2 linked regions of the Schizosaccharomyces pombe genome follow. Changing the gene in region 1 together with any one later gene gives a genetic interaction. Each region holds a gene or a part of one and is shown in the gene's direction. Other genes may lie near its edges.

Region 1 (3,808 bases):
TTGGTCATTTAAACGGCTTAAAGAGCGATAGTAAAATTGCCAAAAGTTAAACTCCTCTAAAGCCGTTTTTGAAATTTGATCATGAAACAATTTAATCAAACTGCGAGTTGTTTTCAACCAGACATTAACCAAATTACTAAGAGATTTATAAAACTCAGAGTCAGAAAGAACTTTTGACGGTAATAATCGAACCGATAGATCTAGATTGTTCTCTTCTGCATGCTTGATTGTCGAAAGTATTAATGGATGATGTTGAAGGATTGTATCAGAATTTTGATATTCACGGCAAAAGAAGGTAAACGAACGTTCAAAATCAGCAAACTTCTGGCATGTAAGTTCCAATTCTTTTCCTTTTGATGGTGAATTTAAATCAATCGTTGAACGATCGTCCACAGATTCCATAGCCAAATAAGCAGTAAAATAACAACTCATCACATATTTTGTGTATAAAAAGATAGCATTTATAGGACGCTCTGGTATTTCATTAGATTTATGGCCTCCTTTTAATATAGGTAACTGATTTATATAAAGCATATTTTGCAATGTTAAAGGTGTATCAGTTAGTGGGAATCTTTTAAAAATAGCAAATGCTGAGGTGCCGGAAAACACATCTTGCAACAAACTAGTCCATTGAAAAGTCATATTTCCGAAAGTGCAAGAGTCAGGAGAAGTGGGAGAACTCGTCAAACAAGGACTACCATATAAATAAATAACTGTATAATATTCATCATTAATGAAGCTGCGAAAAGTGTCCACGAAAGTAGACTGTAGTGCAATTGTTTCGCATATATCATCCAAATTATCAGAAACAGAAAGAGAAAGGAGTTTCTTCAAGAAAATCAGAATTTCATCGGACACCGTAGATAATTGACATTGTGAATTATCGTTTTTATCCATGGTGTCAAGAAAACTTGACCGGCTTTTTTAGAGTACCAAAGGTTCTTTAAAAATCTAGGTGGTAGTGTTTCATATTGTTTGATTATTGAAATCGGTAACGCGGAACAAAGAAATCTAATAATCGTAAACAAAGAAAATTTGCTGTATAAAAACAAAGAAAGCTTTTAAGGAGCATCATCAGACAATAGGGTTTCAAAGTCGCCTCGATGATTCGGTTTCGTTTGACATTAAAATACTACGGTGGAAACTTTTGCAAAGGCAAGTCTCTTTCTAAAAAAAATATTATTTTAATGCTAAAATCGCACCAACCTGTATAAAAGAATTCATTTCAATCTCACCAAAATCAAGTAAATTAATTGAAAAGAATTTTACTACGGGAAATTCCAAACGTTAAAGACATGTTGATAATCATCTTCTTATATCAACTGCGAACAGTTAATTATTTATAATCGTGCCTAAAATATTATGGCATTGATTAAATTTTAGTATCATTAATTTACCTCGGCAACTTTTTAGAATTTAGGTATGTGATTAAAAATGATGTTCCGAATCAAAAGAAGATTTACAAAAATTGTAAGCAAATTTCACAGTTGATATCAGCGTAAAATTTGTCTGTTAAGAAAAATCGTACCATTTATGTGAAAATTTTCAACGCTTGCTAAATAATGTGGTCAATGTTTGTAGATATATTAGCGACGTTGCATCGCTTGAAAAGTTAATCAACACCATCCAACTTATATTGACAGAAGTTAGTGTGAAACAATAGGAAAGAAGTGAGTCCTCTAAATAAATAGATAGAGGGAAAAAAAGAAAATTGAGCGCTTTAAGAAATATACCGCTTTTGATACATCGCTACTTCTAGGAAGAAAGTAATACGCATTACTATTATTCCCTTACTTAACTGATTTAAAACAAAACACAGCGCTAATTAATATCATTTCTCTTGTCGAATTTGATATTTTTTCAAGAGAAATTTCTTGTCAGTTAAACATGTCTTCAGAACCCGTTCCCCAAGCAGTTATTGATGAATTAGAGCGCGTGCTTGTCAATTTAGATAAATCAAATCCTCTTTCCTTTCGCTATCGTGCCCTTTTTAGTCTGAATGCGTTGGCAAAGAAGGGGGACAAGCGTGCCGTTGATGCGATTTACAAAGCCTTTATTGATGATTCCGAATTACTGAAACATGAAATGGCTTATGTTATGGGGCAATCAGGACAACAATATGCTGTTCAGCCTTTGATTAATATTGTGAACGATCTTGACCAACAAGTCATGGTACGTCACGAAGCAGCTGAAGCCTTGGGAGCCTTGGGATTTACTGAAAGCCTTCCTGTTTTGGAAAAATACTATAAGGAAGATCCTTTAGCTCCTATTCGCGAAACTTGTGAACTGGCTATTGCCCGCATTCAATGGAAGAACGGCCTCGATAAGAATAATGAGAAGATTACTCCCAGTATGTATGATTCAGTTGTCGATCCCGCTCCTCCCATGCCCGATCACGAACAAGATGTGAAATCTGAGGTAGCTAAACTTCGTTCTGAAATTGTCGACCAAAATTTGCCCTTATTTTACCGTTATCGTGTGATGTTTCGTTTGCGTAACATTGGTAACGAAGAAGCGGTGTTGGCTTTAACAGACGGTTTTAAGGATCCTTCCCCTTTGTTCCGTCATGAAATTGCTTTCGTTTTCGGTCAAATGATTGCTCCTGCTTCTGTTCCTGCTCTGATTAAAGTGTTGGAAAATACTGAAGAAGTTCCCATGGTTCGCCATGAAGCAGCAGAAGCATTAGGTGGTATTGCTAACGATGAATGCCTTCCTGTTTTAAAGAAGTTTTCGAAAGATGATGTACGTGTTGTTGCAGAATCCTGCATCGTTGCTCTTGATATGATCGAATATGAGAAATCTGGTGATATGGAATATGCCTATATTCCCAAAGTTAGTGCATAATGTGGATTCGTATGGTTGGGTTCGCTACTTTAGCTTAGCCAGATTCTTTGGGTTTTCATTGTAGATTAGGATTTTAAATTCTGGGTATTTTTGGATAACAGTTATTGAAAATGTACATTACTGAAAATTTCTGAAATTCATTAATAAAAATTGGTTAGTAGTTTATTGGAATTTATTGGTTACTTTATTGCATAAGTTTTTTCTTTTTATTTTATTTCTTTCAATACGTCGTAACACTCAAGTTTTAAATTTTGTGGTAAAGCATTAAACCCACCCAATTACCATTGAGGTCCTAGAATTTACTAGTATGTACAATTGTGTAGTGTGAAGTGACCAACTACTGTTTCAAAATATATCAGTTCCTTCAAATATCCAACGCTTACTGCATTTCTTTGCAAACGCCCAGAGAACATTGAAATAGTGTTCTTTTACTCACACCGCCCATATTGATAACAACCAAATTTTTTGGTTTGTATAATAGATTGAATAAATTCACACAGGATTAAAAATGATCATCCAAAAGAGAGTGCAAATTTAATAGTACGAAATTGTTAAACGCTAAAAGAATGACCTCTAATTTGAAAAGAAACTTTGAGTATCTTGTTCAATATATACAACCACATCTCAGACCCAAATCTTCTCACTCTATTAGTTTGGGATATTTGTCCAAGGAAAAAATAAGCCAAGAAGAAATGCAAATTATCAGGGCTACTCAAAAATTGGCCAGAACTAAATATATGACTTTGTACTGTATACCAAGAGCTTGGTTAATTCCTTTTCATGAATTTTTAAACAACAGGTCATACCGCTTTCCTAAGTTAGATTATTCTCAAACGCCAATCCGACTGGCTATAAGGTCTGGAAAAAAATCTGTTCATAAAAGTGCAGTTGTACGCCATCATAACACTACTCGTATTAGAGAAACCTTTATAGATATTATTAAGGCTCTGTATGTTAACGAAAA
Region 2 (3,970 bases), on another chromosome or scaffold:
TTCGTATAATGTAGTACATTCTTCAGGGTGTTGAGGATCAGCAGCATTTGTTAGTGCTTGCTCCAGTGAAAATATATAACCCTTTACTGGGGGCTTATTAACTGCAGCTAATATGGAGTCGGCTTCTTGAAAAGCAGCTAATAAATCGTTTTTCTTGGTTTCGTCTGCACAGAGCTGGCAAGCAGGGAATAGTGGATCTAATTTTGAACGCCGAAGACAGTGCTCTATAAGTGCATTACCATATTCACCTAATCTTATAGTCAATGCTTTTCTAAGAGAAACTGGTTTGGGTACTTTAATCGGCTTTGTAGAAGAGGATAGTTGTTGGTCAGGTAAAGGTTCGTTAATAGAAGTAGGAGAAGCATAAGCAGTGCTTATTTCATCCAAAAGGATATTTAATCGTTCAGCTGTCATATGAGGAATAGTAGACTGAGATTTATTGTCATTAACGAGATTATTTTTGTCTAAATTGTACTTTTGCCCTACGGCATAAACTTGGTCTTTATCGAAGGTGACCACTCGTAAAAGAGACAGAATCTTGTAATGGCCGTCTAATAGTAAAACATTTCCAGCAGCGAAAAATTCACAAACCAGATAGTACGTCCAATCGGGGTCTTGATCATTCGCACCACCTCCAAATGTGAAAACGAGTACTCGATCAGTACCCAACTGAGAGACACCAGTTAACCTTCTAGATTTTATATGTTTTCGTAGCTTCGTTACAAACCCAGACAAAGGGGCATTTTCTCGATCAAATTTTGTTAAATGAGCACGAAACCCACTTTCAATAACAATAGAATATTTTGCATCCTTTAACGGGTTAGTAAAAAAATATTTATTACTTTCTACACATACTTGTTTACCAAACTTCAACAAGAAGGTACGCGCATTTAGATCATAAAAGTTATTCAAGCGACACCCAACCACTTGTTCTCGTAATTCCGCAGCAATCGCAGCAATATCTAAAGCGGAAAATCTTTGCTTCATTTACGTCTATAACACCTATCTAAATGAATTTCTGCGTTACAACAAAATGAAGTATAGGCTCTAGTTAGAATGTAAACATGTGTATAACGTAAGTGAAACTGAAGCACTAACAAAGCGCAATGATATCCGCAATATGTAATAAGGAAAATTATAGCACACCATTGCACCATAAAACGGTGTACATTAGCAGCATTAAAATTCTTAGCGCAAATTTGGATTGTTCTCTCAAATTCATTATTTCTTTCCCGACGATGATTCTTTAATCGTACATTTATAGTCGTACATGACACTGATTATAAAGATAAAAAATAGTTAACTAATGATAAACTTATAAAAAACTTTGACACCTAATATGTCAAACTGGTGTGACCAACCCAATAAGTAAAACCAGAAAGTCAAGAGTTATCGTTGCTGAATCTAATCAAGTGAGCCGAAAGTTGATTAATCATAATTTCTGATTACCCCGTATCTCATTTTTTCAACGACATCCAGAAACTCTTAATTGAAAAAGATGGCTCTAAATGTTTACCAAATAACGAGTACTAAAGTCGAATACAATAGCCTTTTAAACAGTATAATGCAGTTTAATGGAGCATCGGTAATGGCGTTTGATATTTTCAACGAGTAAATAATAATGGAAATTTGGCGTACCCACAAACTTTGTGCATTAACATATTGATTTGTTCATATCTGAGAATTTTAAGTGATCCAATTTTTGAAAGAGTTTGAGTTGGGATTTTTAAGGTAAATCGATTATTGGCTTGCTTTGGTTGTTCTCAGAAATTCGACAATGGTGAAAAACACTGTTAAACACGTCGACTCTTCCAAGCATTTAGAGAAAGTTGCATCCTTAATCAAAGAAGGAAAAGGTAATGACTTTTAATTTTCTTTCCTTGACCATACTAATGCGATTTTATCGAAAATAGTAAAGAAAATATGTGTTATGGTTGGTGCAGGGATCAGCACTGCAGCAGGAATCCCTGATTTTCGAAGCCCTGAGACTGGAATTTACAATAATTTACAAAGATTTAATCTTCCTTACGCAGAAGCTGTTTTTGATCTATCTTATTTTCGAAAAAATCCGCGTCCATTCTACGAATTGGCTCACGAATTGATGCCTGAAAAGTATAGACCAACTTATACTCATTATTTTATACGCCTTTTACATGATAAAAGGTTACTACAAAAATGTTATACCCAAAATATTGATACCTTGGAGCGTTTGGCAGGTGTGCCTGACAAAGCTCTGATTGAAGCACATGGCTCTTTCCAATACAGCCGCTGTATTGAATGTTACGAAATGGTAAGGATTGTTTTTGAAAAAGTTAAAGTGAAAAAGCAGAAATTGGTTTTACTGACGGAAAACAAAGGCGGAAACGGAGTATGTTAGAGCATGTATTATGCAAAAACAGGTCCCTAAATGCAACAGTTGCAAAGGTCTCATCAAACCAATGATTGTGTTTTATGGCGAGGGATTACCAATGCGTTTCTTCGAGCACATGGAAAAGGACACAAAAGTCTGTGATATGGCACTGGTAATTGGAACAAGTTTACTTGTTCATCCATTCGCGGATTTGCCTGAAATAGTGCCAAATAAATGTCAACGAGTTTTGATTAATCGAGAACCAGCTGGCGACTTTGGGGAGAGAAAAAAGGATATCATGATATTGGGGGATTGTGATTCCCAAGTACGTGCGTTATGTAAACTATTAGGATGGTCTGATGAATTGGAAAAGTTGATTGATACGAGTGTTGAAACGCTGACAGAAGAAATATCTTTACTTTCTGTTGACTCTACAATAGAAAAGAATGCCTCTGAACAAAAGAAAGACGATAACTCGGTCAATCCTTTCACTAAAATAGAGGAGAAGAAAAAAGACGAGGTGACGCTGTTAGTTTCTGATGATGAATAGTTCAGTTATTCGGGAAATTTTCTATATTGTCATGATTAAAACTAGGAGATCCCTATATTTATTATACTAAGAAAACGGAAATTCACGATTCGGTTTGATGAATATTTGAATCTACACATACGATTCGTTTTCTTTTAAACAAGTTTAAATACTTTTTTTTATTTCAGCAATTTTATAATATTTCCTTCCAGGCGTCCTTTTGATTGCCTCTTAACCATGAATCATATTGCTCTCTTTATGAGTTGTATGCTGGGTTAAACTAATGCGAAAAGGATAACAAAAAGGGGGTTCTGTATACGATCTCGATCAAACTCATGAAGATGCCCTCGCATTTTCGTGAAAATAACTTGCATTTTTTTTAAAATTGGCGTCCATCTATATACGCAATTTGGGTTATGAGAAAGTTGCGCTAGAATAATTGATAATGGTTTCAAATTTACTGCACTGTAATCTAATACAATCTTTGTCGAAACCTTTTTTCTGTTCAGTTTGGAACATATAGTTCTGAAATGGGAGATTATTCATTTTCATTTAATAAAACTTTGAATTATCCAAGAATTGGAAATAGGAATAATTAATCAAATTGTTCTTTTTGTAGTTTCATTCAAGAATAATGCTTCCTTTGAAAAACTAAAGCGTTTTCTACGAATTGTATATTGTAACAGGGGACGGTGTATAAACCAGTTAGTCCATCATCATAACCAGTTCTGATTTGAATTTTGTTCTTGTGGTCATTATTGTTCATAAAATGAACTAGAGATGTAAAGACATAATTCATATTACAGAAAACAAGTATCTAAGCGCTTGAACAATTATCAGTTAATTTTAGAACAATTATTAAATTTATATCTATTTTATCTGCATATATCTATGTACCTTTGGGTAACTTATGAGTTGTACGAATTACTGACTACATGGCTGTCACCTCCTGTTCGGTTTGCTAAGAATTTACCGATTCTAACGCTTCCTTCTACCTAGCTATACAAGATTCATGAATTTGATCTATATGAATGCTTAGCAAATAAATAATTGTTCGAAAGCCAGATATATGATTTATAATTAACGTTTTT

What was found. Genes that interact genetically often act in the same process or in processes that back each other up.
Region 2: mutations in mmd1 (region 1) and hst2 impair growth when combined (synthetic growth defect), as found in Schizosaccharomyces pombe (one large-scale study listed by BioGRID).

Annotation. Positions count from the first base shown.
Region 1 is NC_003424.3:4,633,860-4,637,667, forward strand, and holds mmd1 (deoxyhypusine hydroxylase), read left to right. Parts: upstream 1-1,615; 5' UTR 1,616-1,887; coding exon 1,888-2,844; 3' UTR 2,845-3,039; downstream 3,040-3,808. Other genes in the region: dynein heavy chain, minus-end directed microtubule motor Dhc1, read right to left, coding at 1-897; SPOM_SPAC30C2.03 (uncharacterized protein), read left to right, coding at 3,411-3,808. UniProt on the Schizosaccharomyces pombe protein: Catalyzes the hydroxylation of the N(6)-(4-aminobutyl)-L-lysine intermediate to form hypusine, an essential post-translational modification only found in mature eIF-5A factor.
Region 2 is NC_003421.2:1,327,321-1,331,290, forward strand, and holds hst2 (histone deacetylase, Sirtuin family, NAD-dependent Hst2), read left to right. Parts: upstream 1-1,631; 5' UTR 1,632-1,777; coding exon 1,778-1,856; exon of another isoform or gene 1,857-1,858; intron 1,859-1,913; coding exon 1,914-2,290; exon of another isoform or gene 2,291-2,357; coding exon 2,358-2,900; 3' UTR 2,901-3,470; downstream 3,471-3,970. Other genes in the region: ribosome quality control complex subunit Rqc2, read right to left, coding at 1-810, 856-987. UniProt on the Schizosaccharomyces pombe protein: NAD-dependent histone deacetylase, which could function in telomeric silencing, cell cycle progression and chromosome stability.